Alligator mississippiensis: one gene and its partners. The protein of the gene in region 3 interacts with the protein of the main gene of each other region in a pairwise test. Links are inferred from orthologs where the notes say so. Each region holds a gene or a part of one and is shown on either strand. Other genes may lie near its edges. The genes, in order: KPNA5, KPNA6 and NUP50.

Region 1 (10,286 bases), on a different chromosome or scaffold from region 3:
AAAAGCTGCAAGTGCATTTTAATATTAGCAGCCGAATCAAATTTTTCACAAAAGTAAACACTACCTTGCTTGAGAGTTAAGTATAGGTAACCCTTGCATAATGCAGCTTCACTTACCGCAGTTTTGCTATAGTGCTCATTTAAAATACCTACCTGGTTTCACTTAGTGCTCAGCATGTTTCGCTATAATGCTGAGTGCAGGGGTGGGGAGAAGTGGTGGCAGTGTCATTGAGTGAAGTGGTGAGTGCCAGCAGGGGCACAGGGCAGGACAGCAGAAGCACAGGGTCCACTCTGGCATGTGATATTGGAGCGGGCAGGGAGGAGCAGCGGTGGTGTAAAGGGACGGGCAGGGGGCATGAGCGCGGGGCCTGGATCAGTCCCCAAGGCCACGGCTGGCCAGGCCCAGGACAGGACGGCAGGAGCTCAGGGTTCACTCTGGCATGTGGTGCTGGAGCGGACGATGGGTGGAGAGGAGCAGCAGCAGCAGTGAGAAAGGGCGGGCGGGGGGGTGTGCTGGCAGGGGTTACAGGAGCACAGGACCCACACAGGATCCCAGGGCCAAGGCTTGGGGGCCGGCTGGAGCACAGGGCCCAGGCTGGCAAGGTGGTGCTGGAGCTGCCAGTGGGCAGGCGGCAAGAAGCGGCAGAACCAATTATATTTATTTACATTAATTTCTCTAGGAAAATGGGTTTCGCTTAGTGTGTTTCCACTTAACACTCAGTTTGTTCAGCACCAATTAAGAGTGCTAAGCAGGGGTTGCCTGTACTGCAATGATTGCTAAGTGTGCAGCTATTTGTTCTGATACTCTAATCAAAATGTCCTTGATTTTCTTCCTTTGTCTAAAAGACTTAACTTTAGAATAATAAAGGTTTGCATGTTAACTGTTATGTTCAAACGAATTTGGCATTCATGTGATATGAGAGTTAGAAGCATTAGTTAGTTCTGTTTTTGAAGAGTGTAATAAATTCAAGATATAATGTTTATGAACAAATTTGAAGAAAGAAAGCAACACAACACTGATTTACCTTTTGAAAGCAGTTTTCTAAATTTTTGGGTTGCTGTAAGCTGCTGATCAGGATCATCTGAGAAAATCATCTGCACCATATCTGCTGTAATAACTTCTTCCTTTAAAAAAAAAATTCAAAAAATGACATCTTTGCAGTTTTCAGTACTTCGAAAGCACACTTCAAATGGAATTCTGAAACACTCACCTCTGGAATAGGTACAGTAGAACTGACATCAGGATCTTGGATAGGGCTTTCTACCATAGATTCTTCATTTCCCGGGAGAGAAACATTTCTGCGTTTAAATAACTAAATGAAGAAGAACTAGATAAAGTTTCACGTTATTACGTTTTCCAAATGCCCTCCCCTCCCACCCAAATTTAAGGTAAACATTCAAAGTATGCAGTGCCACAAGCAGCTACAGATGTTTTGGTAAATTTGAAAAAAAGTAAATTTCAACAAGTAATCAACAAGTCACCTTTCCTATCACTGAAGCAAATGGGGATCTTACAAAAAAAAAATTATGAATTTTGAAGGAGATGCACAAAACATCCCCATAATGTACATAATGGGACAAACAGCAATGGCTTCACTCATGCTATACTTTAGCTTGTATGATTCTTTTTTAAATCAGAACACTTGACACATTTTTAAATGCAAGAAAAAACCCTAAATCCTCTTCTTTAAAGTCTTGCTATTTTAGTCAATATTATTTAAAACATATTTTAAAACGGAATGTAAATCACTCTCTCAATGAATTAGTGGACTAAGACTCAACCCTGTGTTCAGCGTTTCCTATTCAATACGTTAGGCCTCTCTGCTCTCCTGTCTCCTCTGGATCATACTGAGGGGTGGTTTAATGTCTCCATGAATTGCATATAGAGCATGGCCACCCCCATTTCCCCTTAATCCAGGGCCAGACAACAAAAAGCATCTCAACGCCCTTTGTGGATGCCAATCTACATTCACAAATATTCAGTTATTTAGTTAACAGACCATGTTTACTATGTTTCAGAGTAAGAGACCTACTTGCTCTTCCCTTTTTTGTTTCCGAAGCTGGATTCCTTCTTCTTCTCTTCGTCTACGCATTTCTTGAGGATTGAGTGCATTGTTCTTGTAACTTTTCATCCGATAATTATCTTTTCCTGGGCTTGCCATGGTGTCTATAACAAAGAACAATGCTTTTACGTAAAAGTCTGTATGTTATGAGATACAAGCAGCTGCACAATCTCTAGGGCAAGAAACTGTCATCCTCTGACAGTGGATGGCACCTACTCCATTCTGAAAGACAGGCTGCCTAAACAGATACATTTCCTAAACCCTGGGTTAGGAAACAATGTACTCAACGTAAAACAAACAATTAAGGAGCACTCAACCAGCTCCATGTGACAGCACCTTCCTTGTGGACAAAGTAGGCTGGAAAAAGCAAGTTACCTTGACATGGGCAACGTCTACGTGAAGTTTTCACAGTGAAACCTGCCAAACTGATTATCACCTACCACACCCCCAAGTATGGTAGCTTGCCTCTCTTCTCTGACAGGATGTCATGTTGATGGCACCTTGGAAACAAGGGCAAGACCAAGGTGAACTGGGAATGATAGCATTTGGTGCCCTCCCTTCAGCTCTCACCATGCCCAGCTCCTTTTATGGTGCTGGTACCTTCAGCCTGAAGCAGTGTTGCCAGGTGTTCGATAATTATTGTATTTAAACAATAATTTCACCTGTTGTGCGATGTACGATCAACAACAGTAAAAGTGTTTAAAATCTACAATATTTTTTGAGGTAGCTCATTGATGCAGAATATGCAAAACCCAAGTCACTCTAAGGGAATCTTAACCAACTTCTGGGTTTGCAGTCAGCACTTTCTTATGATGGCTTGCCTCGAAATAAAGAAATGCTTCAACTTTGATGACCCAGTTCTCACTCACTCATTGCTGACTTAGAGTAAGCAATATGAAGTAAATAAGAAAATTTATTTGTGTACTTATTTACGTTTTAAAGTATTTTTTCAGTGTGCAATAGTTTTTCAGCAAATACAATAATTTTGAGCTTCCAAGCTGATAATTTCACATTAAGACCTGACAATGCTGGCCTGAAGGGTCTGTAACCAGAGCAGACCAGGAAAGCTTATGGTCTCTGGGCCGCTGCTGCCAGATGGGGTAAGATTCAGCCAAATCTTTGCAAACCTTGCTACGACTGCAGCCACCATGCACCTTCCCAGGCAGCTGGACCCTCCTTTCGGATTGCGAACACACAGCTTGCCCTCCCAAAGGGAGGAACTGAGCGCCGGGGGCAGCCCCTTCCCTACAGCTGACTCCCTCCACAGCCAACCCAGGCCAGTGTTACCAGGTGCACGACAATCATCATGTTAGTAGGATAATTTCAAATCTGGTATGACCAATGATAGTAAAAACGTGCAAAGCGTACAATCATTTGTGAGGCAGCTCATTAACCCAAGTCACTCTCAGAGAGTCAATTAATTGAGTGTTGGGCTTGCTGTCAGCACTTTCTTAGGACTGCTGGCCTCCAAATAAAGGCATGCTTCCACTTGGATGACCCAGTCCTCTCTCATTCGCTGACAACTTACAGACAGCAATAGAAAGTAAAGAAAAAGACCACTTATTCGGATGCTTATATGTATATTTCTCAGCGTACGCTCGTTTTTCAGAAAAAAGGACTACTTGAACTTCCCAACCGATTATTTCATATTGAAGACCTGGCAAGGCTGCCCTTCAGGGCCGGCTCCCCCTCCCCCCGGACAGCCCAGGCCGCCCCGCAGAGGCGCGGGCAGGCGGCGGTCGGCCCTAGCCCGCAGGGCCGCGCTCCGCGCCCCTTGCCGAGCCCCACCAGCGCCCGCCCCGCTGCTCTCACCCATGGAGGCGGTGCCGGAGGGAGAGGCCCCAAAGGCCGCCGCCCGCGACGTCTCGCAATCCAAGATGGCAACCCCGCCCGCCTTGCGAGCCCCGCCTTTCCTCCCAACAGGCCCCGCGCGCCGCGAGTGACGCAGCAGCGGCCAGAGCCGACAGCCCAACACAAAACCACAATTCCCGTCATGCACCGCGCGCAGTACTGTGGAAGCAGGCGCTTTGACCGCGCGCGCATGCGCCCTGCTGCCACAAAAGCGGAAGCAGGAAGGAATTCAGTGTCTGGGCGTTACTCGAGCCTTGCAACCGGTTGCGCGCCTCAGGGATGCAGGTGTGCGACGTGTGCGGGCAGGAGTTGTTGTCGGAGTCGGAGGTGCGGAGCCACCTGGCGCGGGTGCACCTGGGGCCCGGCCCGCCCTGCCCGTTCTGCGGCTTCCGCGGCGGCGGCTACGACCAGCTGCGCCGCCACATCGACGCCGCGCACCCCGAGCCGGGGCCGCAAAGCTCCCGCCCGCTGGGGGCTGCGACGGCGGCGCCCGGGCCCAGCCCGCTCGCGTGCCCCCTCTGCGGGGAGGCGGCGGCGTCGGCCCCGGGGCTGGAGGCGCACGTGCAAGCCCGGCACGGCCGCCTGCTGCTCGCCACCGCTCCAGGTGAGGCCCAGCCCGGGGGTGACGCCCGGACCCAGCCCCGCTCCCCGCTGCGGTCTCCAGAGCAGGAGCTGCCCTGCAGTGAAGTGGGGGGCTCATGCCACAGAGTGGTTTGGGACATCACGGGAGGAGCTAGGAGGCCTCTCACGTGGGTCTGTGTATCTTACTAGGGCTCTGATTAGCATAGTAATCATGGAAAGTTATGGGTGGCAGGAACCTCAGGAAGTCATCTAGTCCAACCCCTGCTGAAAGCAGGACCAGCCCCAACTAGATCACCCCAGACACAGCTTTGTCTAGCTGGGTCTTAAAAACCTCCAAGGATGGAGATTCACCCCCTCCCTGGGATAGGGAGAGCCAGAGGCAGGGCAGGCACTGCGAGAAGTGGTTTTCAATAGAGTGTTGTGTGATGCCCCTCAGGTGCACGGAGGTGGCAGCCAAGTGAAGCTGCCCCGTGTGCAGGGCTGTGGCATGCACGCTCCCGCTGTCTGCTGGATAAAGCCAGGTGCGAGCAGAGCTGTAGTTCTGGAAAGGGGGTGCAGGCGGTGAGGTGCAGTCTCATATAAAGTGACATGTAAGCAGAAGAGAGAATCCCTAGCTCCTGTGGAGTAAAGAGTTTAGCAGGGATTTGGTAGATTAGGAGCCATGAAGTCAATTGAGTTAGGTCTTGCTATGAGCTGGAGATTACACTAGATGACCTCCTGTGGTCCCTTCCAGCCCTCATTTTCTATGACTCCCTCTGCACGAGCTGACTAGAAATGCTGTTGCCACTGCCAGGGTGTTGGTTTTAAATTCTGGGTGGAGCAGGAATCAAAGAGGGGTGCAAGTTTATCTGTGCACTCTCCCCTGGATCTGCCCCCAAAGCCAGGCCGAAGGTGCGGAAGGGGGAACTTTCATCACTACTATGTACTACATCCTTTTGTAGCTTCTGAGGAAGTCACGTGTTAGCAAGGAAAGCTCATGCCTCTCAGAACCAGCCAGCCTCTAATGCAGCACTTATGCAACTTTAAAGAGTCAAGGAACCTCTCCATAACTCTTTTAATTTGCATTTTCTCCACTCCCCTCCTAGAAACAGGGACAGTTGCACTGGTGCATCATTGATGTCAGGAGGAGCAAGGGTAGGGGGCAGACCAGGAAAAGCTGCGCCCCAAGCTAGCTTTAGGGTTACTAGAGAGCAGGAGGAGTGTGCACATTCTGGGCTGGCTGTACAGCAGGCGTGTGGGGCATTTTGACTTGGAAGCAACTGCACTCAGTTTAGAAGCACTGAGGGAAGGCGAGGCAGCAGCAAGAGTGGCTTTCATCCAGGGGTGCCACCACACTCAAAAAAGTGTTGTAACTACTACCTTACTTGCTGACTGGTTCAGAGATGCTATGAACATGGAGTACGGAAGGTACCCTCCTGCCCTTCCTTCTGACAGCTTCAGATTAACAAGCTAACTGCCTCTGCATTGGTGAATAGGAATTGTGTGTCAGGTAGAACTAGGTTCTCTCATTGTGTCACCCTTGACTGATTTCAAAGTGCAGTTATATGTATCCTTTTAACATGTGAAACACTGAAAATATGAAGGTATATAGAGTAATATAGCTCCATAAATAATACTAGGCATGTCTCTACTGGCCCCATTAATTTAATAACATACTTGTTAAACCTGGAAGAAACTCCTGCAGGATTTCTAGAGTGCTGCACAGCTTTGCTGCGGAATCTAAGACTCATTTTCCAAGGGAAGCCACAGGCTTGGCTTACTGACTCTTAAGAGCTCTTGCTTGCATTTAGTGTCATTTGTCGTCATATTCCTGTACCAATGTCCCTCAGTTCTTACATGTCTGAAGATGTACTCAGAGTGAAACTGAACAATTGATAAAAGAAAGCACATTCTTGTCCCTGCGCTAAAACTGTTGTTTGTTTTAAAAACTCAGTGGGATGCCAAAAAGTTATAGAAAAACTTTTTTCAATGTTGGTGCTTTCTCCCTTATTAAAGCTTGAGCAGAATCCTACTCTGGCCTTCTGGTTCTTCAGAGATATTTGGTAAATACAAGATAGACAAGCTTTTATTATTAGAAATGTATTTCTAATACCAAAAAAATATATATTTGGAGTTATGATAAGGAATCTCCTGGCATGCTTAACAGAGGATGATGAGTAAAGAACAAACTCATTTTTTCTTTGTTGTTTCCATGACATCTGTATTATATCTTCGAACATGAAGGCCAGAAACTCGTTTATGAAAAATGAGTTGTTCCTTTCCTGGATCGTTGAAATATCTGGGACTGAAGAGTAGATATTTTAAGTCTATTTAAGTCTGTTTTATAATTTAAGGTGTCTGGTAACAATTGCAATCTTCTATAGTTAAGTTAAACATCATATTATGCTTGATGGGAAAAATAAGATCCCTCCGCTGACTTGTTCTTAAGAGTTTACTTTTATTAATGTACAGGTAGTATGTGCCTTAAGGCACATATTCAACACACTCTGTTGAATTCATGTTACTAGCAAATTCTATTTTTTATTTTAAATAAATGCAAAATGAATTAAGTAGTAACTTTTTTTGTCATAGAAAGCACGTGATTTGCTGCTTTTCTTGTTTGGATTTTATGAAACAAATAATTAGTCCACCAATCTTAAGCACAGTACTACTCTCACATAATTTGTTTTTCAAATACAGGAAACAAACAGCTCTATGAATGTCCAATGTGTGATCTTGTCTGTGCAAGCCCTCAGATTCTCCAAGAACATGTTGACTTACACTTAGAGGAGTGTAGCTTTTCGGAAGGTAGGTGGAAAGATCAAAAGGTGATATTGGCAAAAAGCAGTTAAATTGGTTCTAGGTTTCATACCTACAAAAAAACAATAGTTTATACTTTGCTTAAAGTTTGTCTTGGTTATTTAACAAATTGGTATTTAACGTTATGGCTATGTCTGTGTTGATCCCATTTTCAAAAATGAAAATCAGTTAGTAGTAAATACCTATAGCTACAATTTTACAGCACAGAACAGTTGGTGAAAACAGCACTACCTGATGTGAAACTGCTAAGGATATGCATTGTGTATTAAGTAAAATGTAAACATGTTAATAGATCTACTTAATAGTTTTAATATTCTCCAGCTCTTTAAAATATAACAGTCTAATATCACACATCTTGAAATTTCACATAGACAAGTATCCACAAGTCAGATGATTTTAAAAAGTCATTTTTGGCATCTCGGATCTAAATTACCCATGATTACTGACTTCTGACAGAAAAAGAATGATTTATCAGCTGTTTCTGTTCTGTGATATTTTTTCATTAGTACTCCAGCTCTCTCCAGCTCCTGTGAAATTCTGTTCAGTCTCTTACCTCAGCTCTCTGTGTTCACTTTAATCTGTGTCATTCAGCACTTCATGGACCTGAAAGTTTGCCAGTAAGCTTCCTGGTCTTTTGAAGTTAAGTCCAAAAGATGTGGGCTTCTCTTTAGCAAGCTCAGGCAAGAAAGAAGGCTGAAGCTAAGGGCGAATGAAGCAGATCATCTGTGCAGTGATGCGGTTTACCCAGATGCAGCCCTACAGATTCCAGGGGTGGTTCTGTGGGTCCTCATAAAGAGGTATTGGGGCACTGGGGATTTCTCAGGTCCCATTCCTCCATGCCAGGAGCCTGCAAACTTTCCTCAATTCAGAAGATTGTGGACAGGTCTTTGTAAGATGAGAACCTCGGCTTCCCTGTTTTCTCTAAGTGGGAAAAGCTGGACAGATGCTCTGGGGGCTTGAGGGACTCTCAGGCTCCCAGAACACGTGTCTGGCAGCTGGAGAGTACATATACAAATTTTAATGGCAGCACAAATGAGACATCAGGTGACATCTGTTTCCACTGTGAAAGAGCTAATCAGAGAAGACTTCTTCCTTACTAATAGAGGGGCAGGTTACTTGTAACAGCTCTTACAATCCCTCCAATAAATCTGTACTCTTACTTGAGTTTAGGTGCACCTTCAAAATTATTAATAATTTAATAAATGTGGGAGTTGTCTCCCAAAAATATTAACATACAGTTATCAGGTACTTCCTGTTGATGTACTTACAAACATTTGTACAAACTCTTCCAATTAAATCAATGTTGGATGTCAGACCAACTCGCTTTTTACATGATGTATTATTAAAATGCAAATGAATAAATATTCCTTAGCTTAGAAAGGTTCTTTCAGTTAAATGTATCCCTGCATCTGACAGGTATCTAGTTTCTCAAAATCATTCTCAAACACTCAATCTAGCATCTGAATTCTTAAGTTCCTTTTATAGAGAGAAAATTACATTTACTATCCTCTCCCTGTTTGTGTACGCAAATGAAGTTAAATATAAACTTTGTCAACTCTTTCTTGAACGTTACTGCTAGGTATAAATGTAGGTGATTTAGAATTGGCTCGGCAGCTCCAAGAGGAAGAAGATAGACAGCAACGATTAGAAGAAGTGAAAAAGGAGAAGGAAGAATTTAAAAAACTACAGGTACAGAAAATTTTCCATGGTATTCAAATGATAAAAACTGGGGTTGGGGGGAGAATTATCATCACCAGTGGGGTATCTTGGAGTTGTGTGTATTCTGCTTGGGTGTCTTGCTGTTCACCAATGTTCATATTATTATGTCAATTAAACTAAGTGCAGACAGTTAACTAATAAAATAAAAATAATAGAGCTGAAATTCATTCTTTTGACTTTGATAACCATTCTGTATTTCAAAGGTGAGACTTGGAGCCATTTTCATGAGTGAGAACATTTGTCCTTATTTTCTGTTGTAATCTGTGGTAGTCACTTTGCAGGATCACCTGAACCTAGAGTTTTTGAATTTGGTACCTTACATAGACTGTAGATGTATGCAAAGAAAAAGTGTGCGCATCATAAATTGGGATTGTACCATAAAGTATGTCAGAAGTAATGATATGTCGGGAAAACAATCTAATAGATTCATAGATTCTAGGGTCGGAAGGGACCTCAATAGATCATCGAGTCCGACCCCCTGCATAAGCAGGAAGGAGTGCTGGGTCTAGATGACCCCAGCTAGATGCATATCCAACCTCCTCTTGAAGACCCCCAGGGTAGGGGAGAGCACCACCTCCCTTGGGAGCCCGTTCCAGACCTTGGCCACTCTAACTGAAGAAGTACTTCCTAATGTCCAATCTAAAACTGCTCTCTGCTAGCTTGTGGCCATTATTTCTTGTAACCCCTGGGGGCGCCTTGGTGAATAAATACTCGCCAATTCCCTTCTGTGCCCCCGTGATGAACTTAAAGGCAGCCACAAGGTCGCCTCTCAACCTTCTGTTGCGGAGGCTGAAAAGGTCCAGTTTCTCTAGTCTCTCCTCGTAGGGTTTGGTCTGTAGGCCCTTAACCGTACGAGTGGCCCTTCTCTGGACCCTCTCCAGGTTATCCGCATCCTTCTTGAAGTGTGGCACCCAGAATTGCACGCAGTACTCCAACTGCGGTCTGACCGGTGCCTGATAGAGGGGAAGTATCACCTCCTTGGACCTATTCGTCGTGCATCTGCTGATACACGATAAAGTGCCATTGGCTTTTTTGATGGCTTCGTCACACTGCCGACTCATGTTCATCTTGGAGTCCACTAGGACTCCAAGATCCCTTTCCACTTCTGTGCCACCCAGCGGGTCATTTCCTAGGCTGTAGGTGTGCTGGACATTTTTCGTCCCTAGGTGCAGCACTTTGCATTTCTCCTTGTTGAATGGTTAATGGTATCATCAGTTGGGCTCTGTGTTGGATTGGGCTGAATCTGACTCCTGTTCTTCTGAGTTGAGAAGCA
Region 2 (10,141 bases), on a different chromosome or scaffold from region 3:
CATCCTAGTACAACATCCAACCTCTTTTGCATTCAACCACTAATTGGCACTTCCTTCAAACTATAGCAGTAGACTGTGCTTCCTGCTGGGAAGTCGCAGTAAAATTGCTGCATTCGGTGAGCAAAACAGAACCATTCAAAGCCACGGAGACAATGGAACACCAATAAGTGCCCCTGAAGCATTTAGGAATGTAATCCTTTCCTCCTTTGATCTAGCCAATATATTAACACTAATCACTGTAATTTCTTTAAAAATATAAAAGAGAAGCCAACAGTTACAAGACCACATCCGTTTTTTTGTGATTTTTTTTTTTAATTAAATAACTATAGGTAGAAGTAACACCTGGGATCAGGATAAACTAAATAAGTTAGTAAATGGAAAGAAAATCCTTTTGCTGTGTGACTGACAGCACTAAAAAAAGGTGCTTTTACCATTACTTCTGCAATTAGTTTCCTGATTGTTGAAAGATCTGTATAACCTGAATGGTGGTACAGAAATAAAAGCCTTACAAAATTCAGAACAGTATCAAAAATACAATGGAATTGAAAAATCATTTTTTAAATGCAAGTGGATAACATCATTTTTTTTTTTTGTAAATAAGAGAAGAATGCAGAGTCCTGCTTTACCAGCTAGCAGATAGTTTCCATAGGTTCACCAGCAGCAGCTACAGATAAGGACCTGTCAACATTTGTCTAAGAAACTCTCTCCTTGAATAGTTCGTAACTAAACTAAGAGAATTCACCACGGTCAAAGGTTGTAGGGAAAAGAACCTAAAGTTGTATTTGAGAAATATCTGACCATCTAATTAAGCTTGTCAGGAAGAATATATACACAGGACAGAGTTAGCTGCATGTACACATGAAGGGACAACATTAACTCAATCTAGTGCCTTTCTAGAACTAGCTAAATAAGGGGGGGGGTTTACTGAACCTGCTCTTTAGCTCCAATACCCATTTTCAAGTCGTCCCTCACCTCTTGTACCAGTGAGGTTTCACTTGCAAGAAAAAGCAAAGTAATGCAGAGAAACCATCAGAGAAATTAAACTGAGGTTTCCCTCCAATATTTCAGATACGCAGATTAAGTGTTACATGTGGCATTGTTCAGAAAAAGTTTCAGTAAAACAAAGTTTAAGATTATTAAAAAAAATAAAAATAGAAGAGAAAACCATAGGTATTTTCTGTTTCGTACCTGGGCCACATTTACCTTCTCAAGGCAAATTCTTTCCTGAATGTTCAATACAAACGAACATCCGTTAATTCAGTGGATGCTAAGACCTGTCTTAACACAGCCTGCCTTGGATCCCATAGCTGTGTGCTGTGCACACAGCACATTCTGTGCTAGTAAAACGCTTATCCATGCAATTATTTTGGCTGTCTGGTGCAGCAGTCACCATTGGCTCATTCCCTTCTGTTTTAGCTACCGAGAGCCCGTGATGTGATCTCATTTTTGGAAGGCACAGCCACTTTGCTGATGGTGCTGGCTGCAGAGGGAGAGGAAAAGCAAAGGTTTGCTTCTAGGGAATTCACCGTCACTTGGTATATTGGTCTTTCACCAAATTCAATCCTGTTAAGGTTTGGGTTGAGATTACAGAGGCCTGAGGGAATAAACACAGAGGTTGCCATTTTTTCTTCAGCCAGTCCCCAAAGACTCACTTTCACATTCAACTGTCTGCCCAAAAGCTTGCAATTAAAGAGATTTTTTTTGCAAAAATCTAGCTGGTCTAATAAAAGATATAATCACCTCTACCACCAATCCCAATCGCTTTTTCCTCTAAACCAATATAGCTACAACCTGGATACCTTCTTTACCCTCCTACATTTTCCAGGTCTTTTCTGTCGCTTTCTCCACAGAGCTGCGCGCTTCGTGCAGAAGACAAGTATCCCAGCATACATAGACAGGCTCTAGCATCTACAAAGGCATAATAAAGACCAAGCTGATCTTAGCTGGAGTAGTATAATAGCACTTAAACCAGGGGATTAGGCCTCTGTCTAAACCAAACACTTAAGACTTGGTGTTTGTACCTGCTCCAAGCATTTCACCATTCCAGGTTGCCTTGAAACTCCTTCCCCAAGAAGACTACAAGGGAAAACGCCCAACATTAATCTTTGCTAATACCCAATTTGTTAAACTTAGATAGTGTTGTGTATGCACCCCACCCCCAGACTGTAGGTCATCCTAAAGTTTACTTGCCTTCCGCAATGGTTTGTAAATCGTTTATTGAACAGAGATCCTATTTCCATGCCTTTATCTTGACCCTTTCCCACACTCATTTCACAAATAAGTGTTCAGTCCATACAACCATATGCAAAGCAAAGCAGCCACCTAACTGAGCTGCCCAAGTTTTTGTCTCAAGTAGTTTTGTGTCAGCATGAAGCGTGGTGCACTACTCTATGTTGTGTGTGCACAGCTTGCGCAGCAAAGAGCTTGCTGCGCAGGGCTGGACATAACACACACTGCTATATACAGCAATCTCTTTAGCTCTGTCCCTCTGTTATGTTAACATTACCTGCATCGGCTGTTTTGGTATACCCAAACTGAGCACTTAACCACTGCCTCAATGATCTGCCAGTGCAGGTTTTTTTTATGTAAAGCCTAAATTACTCTATTCAACTGCTTTCATCCAGAGAGCTGAGTTAGCCGGGGTCGTAAATCATGTAACACAGACCAGCAGGACACACGAAAGGGGGCCTGCTCCCCCTGCGTTCGCCCTCTGTTTTGAGAAGCCAAGTGACGGCTTTCCAACCTCAATTCAGTTCAAACCTCCGGTCAAGAGCTGACATCCAAGTTGCGATACGTCAGGCAGCGTCCCGGACGGCACAGCTCCATCGCTACCTCGTTCCTGCTCTCGGCGCCGCTTTTTTTAAGTCATGGTTTTACAAGCAAGCGGCGTTGGGAGGTGGAATAAAAGATCCCGGAAAGGCCGTTTTGCCCAGGCAGGGCCCAGAACCAGGGACTTGCAACTAGACCGGCCTTTCCTTTGACACCTCGCTCGACAGCGCCGTCGTCAAGCAGTCGGCCCTGGCTTTCAAGAGGGGCCGGCCGGCCGGCGGTACGCTCAGCCGGGTTGCTTTGGCTTGTCATCCAACCCCCCCCCCGCTCCAGCCTGGCTCATTAAGGGCCTAAAAAGGGCGGTCTCGCCCTTCCCGGCGTCGAAAGCCTTCGCTCCCAGCCAAGCGAGAGCAGATCAAGGACGCGCAGCACGATGCTCCTACGGAGAGCGACCCGTCACCGTCCGCTCGCTAGACGCGTTTCCCTCGCTTCGTGCCGTACGCGCCTCGCTGGAAAACGGGCCCAGCTCCAATTTACATGCAGGGAACCCACTTTCAAAGAAGGACAGTTTGAGAGCGCTTCAAGACGGGCGCGTTATAGAAGCGGAGACACGCAAAAATCGGATACGCTCCGAGACCTCAACTCGACGGCTCGGGCGAGACCGTTTTGGGGCTCGCCCATAGCAGACGGCGGGGGCGGCTGTCCCTGTCACGGAGACGTGTCGCAGGCAGCCAGGTCCGTGCGGGAGGCTGCATTTCGGCGCCCCCCCGCCCCGATTCACGGACGGCGTGACAGCGGGGTTACCCCGCGGGTAACGAAACCGGGGCACGAGGGCGAACTGGCACATCCAGGCCGAGGGACACCTGGACTCGCACGCGGGTATTTTGCTCCCTGTCGCCTCCACAGAGGCAGCCCCACGCAGCGACTCTGCGCCCAGGCTCGGGCCCGCTTCCTGAGGGCTGACACCCGGGAGCCGACAGGGCCGGGCCGGGCAGGGCAGCGACGCTGGAAAGAAGCCGGCTCGGTCCTGCCTGCTCCGGGGCCGCGGGTTTTTTTAAGACGAGTTCCCGAGAGCGGGATGAGCCCCGCCGGGGAGGCGGGCGCCGCTCGGCGCGGCCCGGCCCGCACCCCCGGGGCAGGCCCAGGCCGCGGCCCGCGCAGGGATCTCCGTGGGAATGAGACAGCGCCCCCGGGGCCGCGAGCACCCTGCTAGGGGGACCCCCCGGCGCCCACCCGGGCCCCGGCGCCGGCCCTCACCCATCGCTGTCTCCGGCGGCTCCGACGCTCCGGCTCGCAGGCGGCGGCGGCCACAATATGGCGGACGGGCAGCGAGGGGGGGGGTGAAACGGCGGCCGCGAGCGGACAAACCTCCGCGCGACGCGATGCGGACGCCTCTTAAAGGGACAGCGCGCCCCCTGGCGGCCCGGCGCGGGCGGCAGCGACACGCTGGAGCGCCGGGCTCCGTGCGCATGAAGGGGGCGAAGGTAACCCGCGAGAGCGGGACCCTCGTTACGTCTGCATGGAGCTGTATATACCGAGGGCAGACAAGGCTCCTTGGGTGAATCGGACCTCTTGTATTAGGCAGAGGTATATTTTTGTCACATTATGACACATGAAATATACACCTGAAATGTATACATGAAATATACATTCATAGAGTGAAAATGCCCAGGGTTTGGGGGTTTTTCTTCTCATTTAGAGGCCCCTCCTATTGGGCTCTCAAGGGAGAAGGGGCTCCCGAGGGAGGTGGTGCTCTGCCCTATCCTGGGGGTCTTGAAGAGGAGGCTGGGCAAGCCCCTGGCTGGAGCCGTCGGACCCCAGCGCCCTTCCCTGCCCCGGGCAGGGGGTCAGACTCGATCTGCTGATGTTCCTTCTGGCCCTAACACCTATGAAATCTCTATTGCAAGGCCCTAAACTGTAGCTTAAGTAGTTTAAGCCTAAATCCGGCACTGTGTGCACTCCCTGCCTGGGCATCCCCGGCTCCCGCGGGAGCATCCTTGCTGGGCACCACTGGCCATGGGCCGGCTCCATGGACACTGCAGGGCAGGGCCCTGGTCTCGGGGACCAGGTGAAGGGGAGGCAGTCCCCAGCTCTGGCCGGCTCTTGTCCTCACCCAAGGGGGCAAGTGCCATTAACCCAACCATGCTGTACGAGGCTGTTTGTCTGCCAGGGCCTGGTGCCAAAGCAGCAGCTTGCTGCCCACCTGCCAGATTTCAGGGGCAGCAGCCACCTGAGCCAGACTGGAGCAGAGACCAAGGGAAAGCTTCCTTATCCCAGGACTAACCCCAATAACGAGAGAGAGATTTCTGCCTTTACCCGGGAACTGCTCTCCCCCTCCCGCCTGAGAAAGGTACTGGTGCTCAGACCCAGGGTAAATGGCTGTTTGCTTTTCTCTGCGGGCAGAGGGAGATGTATATGGCTGACATGTGCTGGCAGAGGCAAGGGGTGCTATTAGTTCCTCCATTTCTGTCCCCGCTCTCCCCAGCAGTGTGATGCCAGCAGTGCTGATCTTGCTGGGAAAGGCTCGTGCCAACTCACTAAGGCAACTGGTTTCTGCCCCAGCCCAGCCCAAAGGTGGAGCAGGAGCTCGGAGGGGTCCCTTCAAAGCAGCTTCACTTGGTGGAAAAGGCTGAAGCAGGCCCCAGCCTGAGGAGCTTTGACACTGCATAGCAAGGGGCCCAAGGGAGAGAAGGAGCCTAGGGGTGGCTTTCCCCCCTGCCTCTCTTCTGCACTCAGAGCAGAGCCTGCTGCAACACCTAGAGAGCAGGCGGGCAGGTCGGTGCTGACCCACAGACCAGGGATCCAGCCCGAGCCTCCCCCAGACGGTGTGGAAAGGAGGAAAGCAGGAGCAGCATTGAGGAAGAAATCAGATGCTACCTTCCCAGCTGGAAGCAGGAGCTTTCCTTATCCCATATATGACAAGATGCTGACTGTGCAGTACTTGCATACATAAGTACTAAATCACTGTGCAGTTCCTGGAGTCAGCGCACAGTAGCGTTGCTGAATGGCTTTTAGGTAACGTCACCTGCGCAGTAGTGTCGCACCACACTTTGTGCCACGCAATGCTACTGTGTAGTAACGAGCTACCGTGCAGTCAGCGTCTCATGCAGATGTGACCAGGAAGTGTAATAATTGCCCCACAATATGCCTCTGAGAATGCCTCCCCCCCAGTCTGCTTCATGCAGTCACAGAGGACTCCGGTGATTGTAGGACACAGCTTGCTCCATCTAGATGCCTTTGCACAGCAGGGTTTGAGGAGGGGGTGACCTTTAGCACAGGAATAGATACAGGATTGGTACTGGCCAGTGCGGTTTTAGTGACCTCATCAATAAAAATGGGATTTTTGGAAATTACACATGAGCTGGGAAAAGTAACAGAGTTAATACAACCGGCAGACTTTGGCCAGGCACAGGTAGCATGGGAACTGCACATTCTGCTTTTATTGAGTGCAATAGCAACATGAGAGTGATGGACCAATATCTGCATAACTGACAAATCTCAAAAAAGAAAAAAAAAAAAAGTTACCTGTGGGGAGCTATGATTCAAGTGGGGGAAGGGATCTCCCACGCTGTCTCAGGGATCAGGACAATATGCTTTGACGGTGACCAGGGGTTAATATGAAATCAATTGTGGCAGATGGCAAATAATGAAAACAAAGTAGTTCAGAGCCCTCTGGCATAGGAGACGGGCGAGAGCAGCCCCTGGGCACATTCTTACACCAGGGTCCCTTGCTGTGCAGTGTTGAAGCTCCCCAGTCTGGGACTTGGCTGGGGTCTGTTCCAGCCTTCTCCATCAGGTGAGACTGCTCATACGGGACCTCCATCAGAGGGCCCCAAGCACTCTTACCTTCCACCCTTTTGCTGAGTTAGGGCAGGAACCAGCTGCCTTAGTGAATCACCTGGTGCACCCATTCAAACATAATGTCGTTAAAGGCAGCCCAATGCAAGGTTCATAAGTCCCGGAAGAAAAACTGCAGGCTGTGCCTCCAGGCTGGCGCACTGGATTCTGCAAGGCAGCCACTCTGAAGAGGATGTAGGGATCCTAATGGGTGTACAACTCAAAACGAGATCCCAGAGCAAGGAAGCAGTCATGAGGAGGATGCTGCACGTGGCACTGATGATGTAGATATCAGGATGCCGCACCCCATTTGGGCATCTGTATTAAAAAAAAGTTTTGAAAAATTGGGGAGAGTGCAGAAAGAACCCCTGAATGATCGAAGGGCTGAAGGAAGTGCTGCACAGAGACATCCGAGAGACTATCGAGGCAATTTGATTTTCAACATATAAAAACCTTCCTAGTGACACTAAGACACTAACACTTTCTCCAACGTAGCTGCAAAGGCAGAAGGCAAGGTAGAGATACACCTTATAGACTATCTGAATCAGAAAAGGCCAGAACAAGACCCAACAGCTGCAAGCTGAAGTCAGCCAAATTCAAAGCTAGGATGAAGGCACCAGTGTCTAGCAGTGGGGGAATGAACTGTTGGAACAAACCACCCAGGGGAAGCACTGGCTCCTCCAGTCTTTGAGGCTTCAGAGCAGGACTGCATGGCTTTCTAAAACAGAGTTTCAGCTAAACATGCCCTTGGGCTCCATGCAGTGATAGCAGGACAAAACATAACAACATGCCAGCTTTCCCTGTGGAAGGAGCTTTGACAGACTCTTGTCTTTGCATTGCCAAGGTCACACTGGATGATCTAATGATCCCTTGTCTTGGAGAAGAGAGGAGAGAAATCCAAGATGAACATACGGCAACACAAGGCGTTTTTTGCGCGCACTGCTAAATCCAATGATGTTACCTCTATTATTCCGGGTGCAGGGGACAAAGCTCCCTATAGTCTCTGGCACAAGATGGTATACATCTGCTGCCAGGCTCCTCTCTGTCTGAGCTTTGCTCTCAACCCCAGGGCAGCAGGAACCAGGGATGTTAAAGCATAAGCTGCAAGTTGATGGAAAAACGGAGTTTCTGTGCCAGCTGCTGGCAGGGAACCTTATGCTCCACAGCCCATCCTCATAGGCAGGAGTCCTCCAACCCCCAGCACGTGGAAGCTAGTGAAGATGTAATTTCATTGGGGTGGCACGTGGCCTGCAGAGCCAGGTTTCCCTTTATATGGAGCTCTGACGGGCTCTCATCTTTGCATGGGGGGCCAAGATGGCAGGAAAACATTTCAAGTCAAATGAGGTAGACACATCAGCCCCCACACCCGTGACAGACCTGCTGCTCCAACACCAATTCATGCCTGATAGAGTAGAATTAAAGGATGGAAGCCTCCAATTTCAACAGGTGAGGAGCTGGCAACTGCTAGCTTAATGCCTTTGGCCAGAGGCAGAAAACATGCAGAAAGAAGGCTAATTATCACAGCAGAAGTACTGCTTTGACCACAAGGAGAAAACCTGTCCGTGTGGGAGATGGACCTCTCAACTTGTTGCCACAAAGGCCCACTGGACCTGGGAACCATCACGAATCTCCCCCTTTCTGCTTAAGAGCACCAGGCATGGCTGTGACACACATGCTCCAAATACACACACTCCATGGTGTGGATGTTAAGCAAACAAATGCCAACCCACCCATGCAAAGCAGGCCTGAAATGCTGCCAAATCAGGGGGCTACTCATGCCCCTTGGTGCAATGCAGGGGAGAATCACACCCCTGGTGCATCCAAGAGAAACAAAGGCATAGACATCTCAACATCTGCCTATGAAAAGCTCTGGATTAAAGAACTTTTCTCCCCCAACAAAGGTGGTTACAAAACTCACAGGCGGTTCAGAGATATAAAGGATAAAAGTGATTCCACATTTGGAAGGCAGGGATGAGGCAGCAGCGCTCTGTGCCCTACCTCCCAAGTGATGAAGAGCAGAGCCCTGGAGGAACCCTGGTTGGAGCAGCCTGCACACAACATGCTCTTACTGCTGGCTCCCTGCCACCTCCTTCCCTCCCCTGGGGGTGGGCAGCCCCTGTGCTAGTGCACGCTATGGGAGGCTCCCCTGCTACCAGCCACCCATCCAGCATTCAGCTCCTGCACAATCCAAGACCACCTGCAGTCCCATCCACTGACTTGATCACACTCCGAACCTCACCCTCCTTGCTCCGTTAAAGCGAATCTCGTCACCCCCACCAACCTCTGCCCCAACCCAGGCTGTCCAGCAACACCTCTGTGCTCAAATACATTCCCCACACTCCTCCCCATGACTGGATCAAACCCAGCAGGAGCAGGGGAGGAGGCTGCTAGTGCTACCTATGCTTCCAGCCAGCCAGTGCAGGGTCCGTCCAATTCCTCTTCCACCAGAAAGGCCAGAGTGAGAATAGGGAGAGCCTGGGAACCAGGGCACCCCACGCTCTGCCCTTGCAGGAGCTGCCTGCCCGCCTGCTGAGTTGGGTACCAAGCAGATGCTGCAGGGCTGGAAGAGAGAGGATGGGAATGGGAGGGTCAGGCTGGGGACAAACCAGTGTTCTAGAAGGGCATTGGGAAGCAGCCCCAGGTAGCCCAGCAGGGAGAGGCAGCCATGGCAGGGGCAGGGGAGACACATAGGTTGAACCCAAAGACTGTCAGGAGCAAATCATACCAGCTTCTGATAGAGCCTGGTGCCAAAGCCTCTGCAGCAAGCCAGGACCGCACAAGCAGTGCCCTCTGCCAGGCAACCTCCTCCACAAACCTGGAGCCGGTCATTCCCTGCCGAGACCCCAGGCACCAGGCACCGGCGAGAGGCCCTGCCAAGTCTCTTGGCGGGAGCCACGGCAGAGGAACCCGATGCAGAGGAACATTCTAAGACGTCCTTTTATTAAAATGTGCGTCACCGTTCTGCGTGGCGCCCTTTGCTGTTCTCCGGCTGCCGGGGCGTTGCTGGCGGCAGCCTCCGTGGCCTCAGCACTCGAGTCCAACTTGGGGGAACCGCTAGGTGGTCCGCGGCCTGCGGTTCCCACCCATGGCAATGTAGACGTCAATGGGGACGTTGGGCAGCGTCAGGCAGTGGCACCCTGGGCATCTTCTCAGTTGCCTGCACAATGAGAGAGAGTGGGGGTTGTGGGTGGGGGGAAAGGAGACCTGGTTGATTCCAGCCTCCCAGGAGGCTGGTGCAAGGTTGCTGACATGGTTATCTGGATGCAGAGAAACATGGGCTGGCCTGGCAGTCTAGCAGCTGGCTCCTGCCAGCAGGGGCTGGACTGAGTCAGGGGATCAGAGCCCGCCTGGACAGGGCAGGGAGGCAGCAGCACTCGGCTCAGACAGGTCCTTTGTGCCCTTTTCCTCTGGCTTTATGCAGAGAAAGGCTTTATGGGATCTGGCATTGCACCCCTACACCAAGGATACCAGGATGGAGCAGCAGCCTGAGACCCAGCTGGAATATACTGCCCACGTCCATCGGTAGAACAAGGGG
Region 3 (9,634 bases):
CTATCGGATCCGATTTGAGTTCTTGAGCTTTAGCCAGTTTAACAGGTACATGACTTGAATCAGGAAACTTATACTTAGCTTTGTTAGGTTGAACTTCACACATTTCATTACCTTACCTTACAAAGGAAAAGGAGGGAAATCAAAAGAAATATCTTACCTCCTCAGCTTCATCCTCTTGATCCCAATTCCTGTCTGTCAACTCCTTCTCTGCAATTCTCTTTGCCATTTCTCCACACCTGCAAGTGTTTCACTAATCAGTAATCTGGTGAACTGTTAGACTAGCACAGAATACATTTGCACAGAATGAAATACTAGTTCAAATATTCCTTAACTTGTATTGCTCAGAACAAAATGGGAAGTGTGCATTTGTATCTTTAATAAAGTAATTTAAAATTAAAAAGATGAATAAAGTCTCAGTTATGTTTAACGTATACAGTTGCTATTTGATGCTAAATTTGTTCAAGATAATTGAAACTTATTTCAGGATGCCTACGTATGTAGTGTGTTCTCAAATCCTAAAAGCGCACAAGTAGCTCTAAAGCAGACAGCAGTGGAACCACAACAGTTCAGTTAAATGAGAAACCTACCTTAAAAAAGGTAGAGCATACATGTTACCCTTTAAAAATTATGATACCTCCCATGAACCTTCTAAAATTTAAGAGGGAGGAAGATTTTACAGTGAAAAGTAACCACCTAAAGTTCCTTTTATTGCGGAGAAATAAGGGACCTTGTACTCAGCAAAACAGAGTTTAAAAGTCACATTTTACTTTGGTAAGATCCTGGCAAACTGTCAGTGTTAGAATTTTATTTTAAGTTTGAGGTTAGAGACACATATGTGAGAAATTCTACATAGAAAGCAGGGTTATTTTAGAAAGCTAAAAATAAGTCAATTGCACTAATACAACTTACTTTAAGCTCAGTAAGGTAATGGAGTTTATAACAATAACCAAGATTTGTGATCTGTTTAAATACCTAAAAAATTTGGCCTCTGTGTATCTTGGCTTTAACTATAAAGATATTTCCTATGGAAACACTGTCATTTTTTACTCCAGAAGTAAATATAGCCCTGACAGTTGATAATATTCATGAATTACAGTAGTAGAATTAAATTACTTTGCTTAGGGACAAGAATAAGATAAGGTTTGGGGCCCTGTATTTCCTGCACTGATGAAATCACCAAAGTTCAGAAGGCTTCCTTCAGCATCCAAACCACAAGCAAGTCAGAACACCAGCACAAAAGAGCGAGCTGGTTAACCACTGTGAAGGAAAATAGACTAAAAAAAAAAAAAAAAAGTCCCAAGAACCCTCCCTAAAGGGACAGGGTATTGTAAAGGCTACAAAAGGAAGTTGCAGAGCAGGCTTGCACAAGCACCCCTCTTTGGATGATATTAGGAAATGGCCTCACCAAATTTTCACACCAAAACCAGGGACAGACAACTGGGTTGAAGAATTTTAAGGAGCCAGATCTCAAATCAAGAATATCTGACATACAAGGAAAGTACTCTAATCTATGGAACTCTGCCTTGCCCCCACTTTTGTTATCAGGGGACAGGTTTCATATGATTCATTTGGGTCTGATGTACCTGCATGCTTCACTAATGTAAAAGCAGGCTATTTGCAGATTATGGAAGTCTTGCTTCTCTGCACTGAATGGGAAATCTAGTCACCACAACAAGAGTAAAGGAACTGGAGCATGTACACTGGTAAAAACAAGTAAGGGGTAGCTTAGCATAAAAGTCTGGTACCCTTTATCAGAAAGCAAGAGAAGCTAACTGGCCTCAGTGTTCCTTCAGACACACATGCATTTACACAACTTCTTCACAGGGGAAGAAAAGAAGAGGTTCTCTTTCACTACAAACCAAGGCACATTCAAGTAGAATTTAAACAGAGTTCTCACTAGGTTTCTTTCTTGGATTAGAAAGCAGAGATATGAGAGACTCTCTACCTCATAACTTGTACACATGCAGAGGTGTTCTCCACACAGCTCTCACCACAGCAATTGTACAGTGAGGCCAGATGGAGAGTGAGGCCAAACAAACAAACAAACAATCACCAAACTGCATTTACTTTAAAACCGAGGAGAAGTTCACCTGGAAAATTAGGGGTACACCAATAGAGATTTTGGGGGCTGATACCAATGGCCGATTTTTAAGGAGCCATATCAGCCAATACCAATCCAATATGCAACCCAGCAGCTTGGAGATCAGTGTCCGTCCGGCGGGTAAGTCAGGCTGTTGTGGGAGAAAGGAAGGGGGCAGATCAAAGCCCCCATGGTGAGGGAGGACATGGGGCTGGGGAGGGGTTGTACAGAGCTGTGAGTGGCTTGTCCGGGGGACATGGGGAGGGGAGGTGGCTCCTGCCCTGCGTGCACCCTGGGAGGGGGCCCAGATCTGCGTTGGGGAGTAAGGGTGGGATGCTACTGTGAGCTGGGCTGGGTTCTTGGGGGGGGGGGGAGGGGGGGGGGCTGGACCAGGTTGCCCTTGGGGTGGGTAGCAGAGGGGGGTTATAGGGCAGGGAAATTACCCAGAAATTCACCATAGGCCCCCCCCATGCTGCTGGTGCTCACCCCAAGTGCAGCCCAGCCCCTGCTAGGAAGAGCCCAGCACTACCCTGGCCCCAGCAAACAGCAGCATCCTGCCCTCACCCCGCATTGCGGATCTGGGGGCACATGCCCCCACGCCCTCCTGGGGGTACAGAGAGCGGCAGGAGCTGCCTCCACCCCATGGATGAACTGCACACGACTCTATCCCGTGCCCCACCCCAGCTGTGCAGTGCCTGCCCCTGCCCTACTCCCTCCCTCACTGTGGGGGCCTTAATCTGCCTCCCCACATACTCTTTCCCTCCCCCAACCCCAAATGCTGCTGCGCATGTTGCAGGGCTGCGCACCTGGCCATGTGCATGCTGTGGCTGTGGGGCATTTATTTATCAGCCGTATTATTGACCACACCAAGCAAAAAAAACCCCGATGTCCAATACTGTCAATTTTCCCTATATCGGAGCCGATCCAACAAGGTGCCCATAGTTATAATACAACATACTGATATCTAAAATAATATCGGAAAATGCAGTCGTAAGATTCTTGGCAACTTCAAAACACACCAAAATGTACAGTCTAAAATTAGACAATTGAAGGCAACCTCCCCCCCCCAAAAACACCCAGCTGTCCCAGCACTAGTCCTGCAAATTAAAACCTGCCTCAAGCTATAAAGAAATTTTAGAGAAAAGATTTTATAGTGAAATGTAAACCCCTAATGTTCACTTGATTGCCCAGCAGCAACTGACCAGGTTTGATTTCTGCTCTGGGCACTAAATCAATAGCTTTGTGAGGCAGGTGTTTTGCTTCTTGGCCTGCCAAGCACAGGAAGTGAAACATGCACATGCCACATGTACCCTGACCAAAAACCAACTGCACTGGAACAAATTAAAAATAAATAAACGAATTAAAATGTAAAGCTTGCAGCACCCCGTTTTTGACTCCCTGAAACCAAGACTTTGATCCGACTCCCCAAAAGAGCCGGGATGAAGTAGGTATTGCTAAATCCCCGTGCTCAGCGTCCGGAAAGAGAGGAGGGAAGAAGCTGGAGGGTGCCCCTCCCCCCATGTGCACCGTCCTCCCCCGCGGGCCAGAGGGACCCAGAGCCCTGGGAGGGCGCGGGCGCTCCCACACACACCCGCAGCCACGACTGGGAGATGGCAAGCTCTGCCCCAAGCCGGCCAGGGCCGTGGTACAGCTAAAGTCTGTCAGGTCGTGGGCAGGCCCGGGCCCGGGCCCCTCCCAGCAGAGCCGCGCGGGCGGGACCTTCCGGGAAAGGGAGAGCCCCTCATGACGGGACCCCGCGAGGCACCTACCTCCCTCTGTCGGGCCTCGCTGCGTCCCGCGAGGAGACGCTGGGTGCCGCCCGCCAGGAGTCCGGGCCGCGAGCCCGCTCACCATCCCCGGCCCCGGGAGCGCCCTCCGCGTCCCGATTCAGTCGGCGGCGGCCGCCATCTTGCCCTCGCCTCCTCCAGCCCGGGGGGAACCGTTGGGGAAAGGGGAACGGTCGGTAACCACCGCAGCAGCCACCCCCTGCCCCCCTCCCGCGCGTGCGCACTCACCGGCCTCGGCCCGCGCCGCTGACGCTCAATGAGGCGGCGAAAAGGAGTTGGAGGGGGAGGGGGGACCCCAGTCGCGGGCGGCCGTTGGAACAGCGGGTCACGAGCCCCTAGTCAGCCAATAGGGAGAGACGTGCAGGCTTCTTCGGAGGGCTCGGCCTCAGAGGGGCGAGTCGCGCATGCGTGCCGGGGCTAAACGGGCAAGATTGCTGCGTCAGTGGCGCGCCCGGCGTTCGAATTCGGGTCACGTGGCCCGCGGCCCGCGCGCTCCTTGGAAAAGGATAGTGGCTGCGTTCTTTGCGGAGCCTTGCGGGTGGGGGTGCTTGCGGTTGTTCGCTCGGATGAGAGGGCGTCTCTCTGATGCACGCGTCTGCGCGAGCGCTCTCTTTCAGTGTCTGCTGTGTCCCCATCGGGGGGCAGAGTGGGGCTGGGGGAGACAGGCAGCTTGTCTGCTGCAGACAGATTCAATCACCACCACCCCTAACCCAACAAGCGAACATCTGTTGCGGGGGGCAGGTGCTCTAAATTATGGCGCTTCATGTAAAGCACCATGAATAGAGCAGGGGCCTGCACATCTGTCAGTTTCCATTGTTCCCATTTTGAGGATTATCTATTAGGGATCTGGAAAAAGTACTTCTCTGCTGCCTATCCAGTTGCTTACAGACCTGAATAAGTGTCTCATTCAGAAGTAGACCCACTCAAATTCCTATTCCAGGCTCTTGGCATTGTGAAAAGGAATTAACTTCTTAAAACCAAGTAGATAGCTGAACAATAGTGAGTGGGTAAAATGCACTGCACACAAAAATAATAAATTTCCCACAAGGTTATTTGGTTAAATTAATAGTACAGCAAGTACATGGAAAACAATTAAAAAGAAAGCTTTTTGTATGAAGAGTAATTGGCCAGCAGCCTCTTCTGCTAAAGGACTTGCAGGTAAATGATGAATGGAATGTGACTACCTTTTAAGAATGGCTGAAGCTTTTATTAAATTCAGTAAAGATATGCCCAAAGTACAGCTCTGTTGAAGGGAAAAAGATGCACAGATACACAGTGGGGTATAACTGGACAGGTAGAGGGAAAAGGGTCAGAAGATTATAGTAATCATAAACTGAATATTAGTCAAGACTGTGATAGTGCTTCAAAAGAGGAAGGTTTTATTTTTGGATGTTTTAATAGGCCTGCCACGTATATGACACAAGTAACTATTTGTACAGTGCTAGTGATGCCTCAGCTGAAGTATTATGTCCCATTTCAGGCACAAGTCTTTAAGACGGATGTAGACAAACTGGAAGGAGTCCAGAGGAGCAGAGAAAGTGGTAGTGATGTAGATGGAACGAAGGCGCTGTTTGCCAATCAGCAGTGGGAGGCAGAGCCTCTGCAAAATCAGCTCTGTGTACCACAAGCAGGCTGCAAAAAACTCATTTTCTCACAGCGACTTAGGTAGATCCTTAGTTATTGTACAGGATGAGCTTGCAGAGAGGAGGTTGCAAAACCATATGGGGATACACATGGGAACCTCAAGCCATCTTAGCCTCACACACTAGCCAAAAACTTTTATCAACAGGAAGGCGAATTCTCCATCATGTTGCAAGTTTAGGTTAATCACCAATGAAGGTTGCAGGGTGGGCAGGAAAAGATCTATAAATGACAAAAACTCTGAAAATTCACAAAGATACAAAAATAGCCTCTTGGATAATTAGAAATTTATTCCTTATTTCTGGAATGAACAAAAAAATGTTTTGTTCCTCAAATCACTATCAACATTAATAGAGTTAAGATTCTTCCTGTTGTTTTAGAAGTTCCAGTTTATATTCTAATTCTCTAGTTAGTGAAGTTTTTTGCTGGTCACTTGGATGAGTTTAGGAAGCTGTTTTACACTTCATTGCCATTCAGCTGCTAATGTAGGTGTAATATGTGTGAAAGGCAAGGGAAGGTGGCTGAGCCTCATGAAAAGGCCAAATGCATCTCACATGTTTCTAGTGAAAAGTGCTTGCAGAATTTTGCAAAACATCTGTGAAAATAAAGGAGGTAGTTCCCAGCTCAGGGGGAAAAAAGGACTGGAAGTGGAGAGACTTCCTGAAAATTATGGACAGCCAAAGCGAGGCCTCTGGAAAATGCTCCAAATGTTAAGAGAAATAGGGTAGGGTGGTAAATGAGAGATAATGAATGTATTGTAACCAAGGACATGACTGGAAATATGTTGATGTGCACCACGTTTCAAGCATAAGGATTGTTTCAATAAATCTTCCCTATAACCCTATAAAGGCAGAAGCTTTTATGACCTTTTGTTAGGTGCAGTCACAAACTACTTGAATAGCTCTTGTCTTCGTTTATCTACTTTGGGGGTTTGGCAGCCTTTTATTAGGATGAGAAGGGCTCTGGGCAGTCCATAACATTGCAAGTGCTAAGGAAAATCACAAAAATTACCAATTGATTGTCCTCGTACTAGTCACCGTGGAGGCTGGGGTGGTGTAGGCACACCAAGGCACATGGTTGACAGCCCAGAGATCATAAACTCAAGGCTATCAGCTCAGAGGTCACAAATTCAAGGCCACAGCAAATTCAAGGCACTTGTGGCATGGTCCTGTCAAATTCTAATGAACCTGCAAATTCTGCTAAATTACCTTGTCAAAAGGACCTGGAAACAAAGAAAGGACTAGTCCCCGTGCCAAAAATGATAAAAAATTGCATTTCCTAGTTTTGCAATTCACTCTGAAATGTTTGTGTCTTCCAACTTACTTTCCTGTTATAATAGTGCCCTTGTACCAGTGCTGGGAGGGTGCAATTAGAGAAAGGCAGAAAAAGGTTAATAATTTCATCCTTGCAGCCTGTCTACATTGGAGCCTGATTTCTTCAGGTAGGTCCTGAGGAGACGTAGAAGGATGTTTTTATTTTAACAAAGCAATGGGTCAGTCATGCGGATGTGAAAATTCGGCACCTGATCCAAGTGTGAAGCCATACAATGTGTGATAGCAACGAGATGACTGTCTGAAGCATAGTACGGAATGTGTTCTTGTGAACTTAAAATGAACAGACTCTGAAATCAACTTATTTCTGTTCCAAAGAGGATTAAGTACTGCAGCAAAAGGTGCCTGGTAATTTATAAAAATTTATAAAAAAAATGTGTAGTTGTGTGTAAGTGCAAGGCACTGTAATATGAATGATAATCTGATATCACATCCCTACGTAGAAAAACCCTTAGACTACTTATGCAAAGATGTCTGCCTTTCCTATTGTATTCTCACTCTAACCAGTCTTGTCTTTTTTTGACTTCTTGTACCTTTTGAGAATCCAGAACTCCAAGCTTTCCTGGGAAGGAACTCGTTTCTCTGTACGGTTGCTAACAAAATGGGACTCTAAAGTAGTGGTGCTCTGCTCAACCTTTTAAGGGTCACAGCATCCCACTTCCATTTTTTTGAATGTGGTGGTACCTCTGTCGGAGAACCACTGTGGTTCTGCCTCAGCTCACCTCAGTACTTCTCAGCCGGGTTATCTTGTACCCAGATGGAACTGCCCTGCATGCCTGCTGCACAGCCAGCCTGGGAAGGGTTGGGCCATGTGCATGCACTGCCCCTGCATTAATGCTCTCAGATCAGCCTAAAGCAGACAGAAGCTGCCCCCTACAGTGTAATCCTACCTGCTCTGGTACCCCTACGCATCTCCAGAACTAAAAGTGGATGGGACAGTGCCACGCAGGCCTGTTTCTGGGAGAACTATAGGAGCTGGACCACAAATCACTGCACTGCATGACAGAGCTTTGCTGCCTGCTTTAGGCTTAGAAATGGGGAACAAGTAGAGCAGTTTTACCTGGCTGCTGCTCCCATGACACCCTAGTTGAGAACCACTATTCTAGAGACTACTACAGTGTACAAAGATAAGACTATTGCCAGTTTAGACTGTAAAAGTTTAAAGTCCAGAAATGTCTTTTTGTTAAGTATTTATACAGTACTTAGCAGAACAGGAATTAAGCACACTACAAGCACATACACACAATAAATAATAGTTTCTGTTCCAATAGTTTTTAGGCCAGACACAGGATGTTTAATAAAATTAATATGAGTATATAGAGCAAAATTATTTTATTTATTTAAATTTATATTGCAACAACAATAACAACAACAATGTATATTACATACAGTCATGTTTCTGATAGGTGCATATTATGTTAGAGGAAAATTTATTTTTTCTAATATAAACTGCAAAGGGAATAATAAACCGGAAGGAAAAAAGAAAATTATGGTAATGGGATCATAATTTTTTTTCATAGCAGAATTGTCTTTTTTTTAAGTGACTAGTGATTTTTTCCAGTGAATAAAGCCCAACGTTAAACCCCTTAATGGGTCCTTATTTACAGATGGTAGGTACCCAGCACTTCTTGAAAATCAGACTTATTCAGTTGGTACCACCAAAACTGAGGCAACCAAACTCTGTAGTCCTATTTGAAAATCATGTCAATCAATAATTGTTCACTACACTTTGACTGTTAAAGATACTCCACCTGTAGTAAGTCACAAAATCAGCTATATAAAAATGCAGAGGTATCAATTTCTAAGTTATTTTATGATGTACATACAGCAATTTTTTGGTAACTTCTGTGTGGTCTTAAGCTATTGCATTACTTTCTTGTACCGAGTGTCAAAATATTACAGCCTAATATATAATTACAAGTCTCACTCAATGTAACAGCACTAAATCTTGGCCTTTGTCCTGCAACACAATGCATTTTGAGTAGTCTTGTTAAATCCAGTGGGACTATTTACAGACATAAATATTTGCTGGATTTGGGCCTTATTTTGTAGTCTATCAATCCTGCACTGAGTTCTGTTCAGGTAGTCCTCTTGTCTGTAAGAAAGCCTAATTAATGAAATCATTGGTGTGAAAGCAGTATCTGCATCTAGGCATGCAACTATAAAAGATCACTATGCTTATATTATATTTACATGACAACTGCAGTGGCTGCAACAAAATAGAACCATTAACAACAGGTTATGCTTTGAAACTCAGCTTTGTCAATATCCTTTTTAGAACTGTTTAAGAAATGTTTGCTGACATATCATCTTCACGAAGTAAAGAAGACTAAATAAGCTTATCAGATATGTTCACAGCTTTTATATAGATGTATGAATCTTTATCATGTTCTTGTCAAAACTGGGTATGAAGAGATTCCCTTTAAATCTTCTTCAGCAATCTCTCGTAGTCAAGGATGATTGTCTTCCGATTATCCGAAGAAGGTTGATAAGGCCTATCTGGGATTGACAGATTCTACTGCAGCTTAGACATGTTTTTTTGTGTAGGGTAGGTGGCACTGTAGTCCTGATTTAGTCCATGACATGCTGTTTCTGCTGCTCTCGCTTTTCCATCCCCTGTTGTTATTGAAAGGTTTCAAAGTACTGAGGTTTCTGCCTCAGACTCTTCCTCCATTTGGTGTAGTCCTGGGCAATAATTTCCCATGAGTTGACTGATGTTGTATTTTTTTAAGTCAGCTTTGAGCATGTCCCTAAAGTACTTTCTCTTCCCTCCTCTTGAGTGTACTTCTTGGCTG

Evidence for each region.
Region 1: the proteins of NUP50 (region 3) and KPNA5 interact in binary tests that used the Homo sapiens proteins (3 or more experiments, as listed by UniProt). The two-hybrid records come from large-scale screens. The link is inferred for Alligator mississippiensis from reciprocal best matches to the Homo sapiens genes NUP50 and KPNA5.
Region 2: the proteins of NUP50 (region 3) and KPNA6 interact in binary tests that used the Homo sapiens proteins (3 or more experiments, as listed by UniProt). The two-hybrid records come from large-scale screens. The link is inferred for Alligator mississippiensis from reciprocal best matches to the Homo sapiens genes NUP50 and KPNA6.

Annotation. Positions count from the first base shown.
Region 1 is NC_081824.1:101,706,509-101,716,794, reverse strand, and holds the start of KPNA5 (importin subunit alpha-6), read right to left. Parts: upstream 3,985-10,286; 5' UTR 3,879-3,984; coding exon 3,875-3,878; intron 2,167-3,874; coding exon 2,033-2,166; intron 1,313-2,032; coding exon 1,211-1,312; intron 1,125-1,210; coding exon 1,025-1,124; intron 1-1,024. Other genes in the region: ZUP1 (zinc finger-containing ubiquitin peptidase 1), read left to right, coding at 4,193-4,517, 7,175-7,282, 8,874-8,983. UniProt on the Homo sapiens protein: Functions in nuclear protein import as an adapter protein for nuclear receptor KPNB1. Binds specifically and directly to substrates containing either a simple or bipartite NLS motif.
Region 2 is NC_081829.1:5,508,617-5,518,757, reverse strand, and holds the start of KPNA6 (importin subunit alpha-7), read right to left. Parts: upstream 4,136-10,141; 5' UTR 4,031-4,135; coding exon 4,027-4,030; intron 1-4,026. Other genes in the region: protein FAM229A, read right to left, coding at 9,661-9,763. UniProt on the Homo sapiens protein: Functions in nuclear protein import as an adapter protein for nuclear receptor KPNB1. Binds specifically and directly to substrates containing either a simple or bipartite NLS motif.
Region 3 is NC_081827.1:134,201,952-134,211,585, reverse strand, and holds the start of NUP50 (nuclear pore complex protein Nup50), read right to left. Parts: upstream 4,252-9,634; 5' UTR 4,096-4,251; intron 4,040-4,095; exon of another isoform or gene 3,850-4,039; intron 237-3,849; 5' UTR 227-236; coding exon 158-226; intron 1-157. UniProt on the Homo sapiens protein: Component of the nuclear pore complex that has a direct role in nuclear protein import. Actively displaces NLSs from importin-alpha, and facilitates disassembly of the importin-alpha:beta-cargo complex and importin recycling.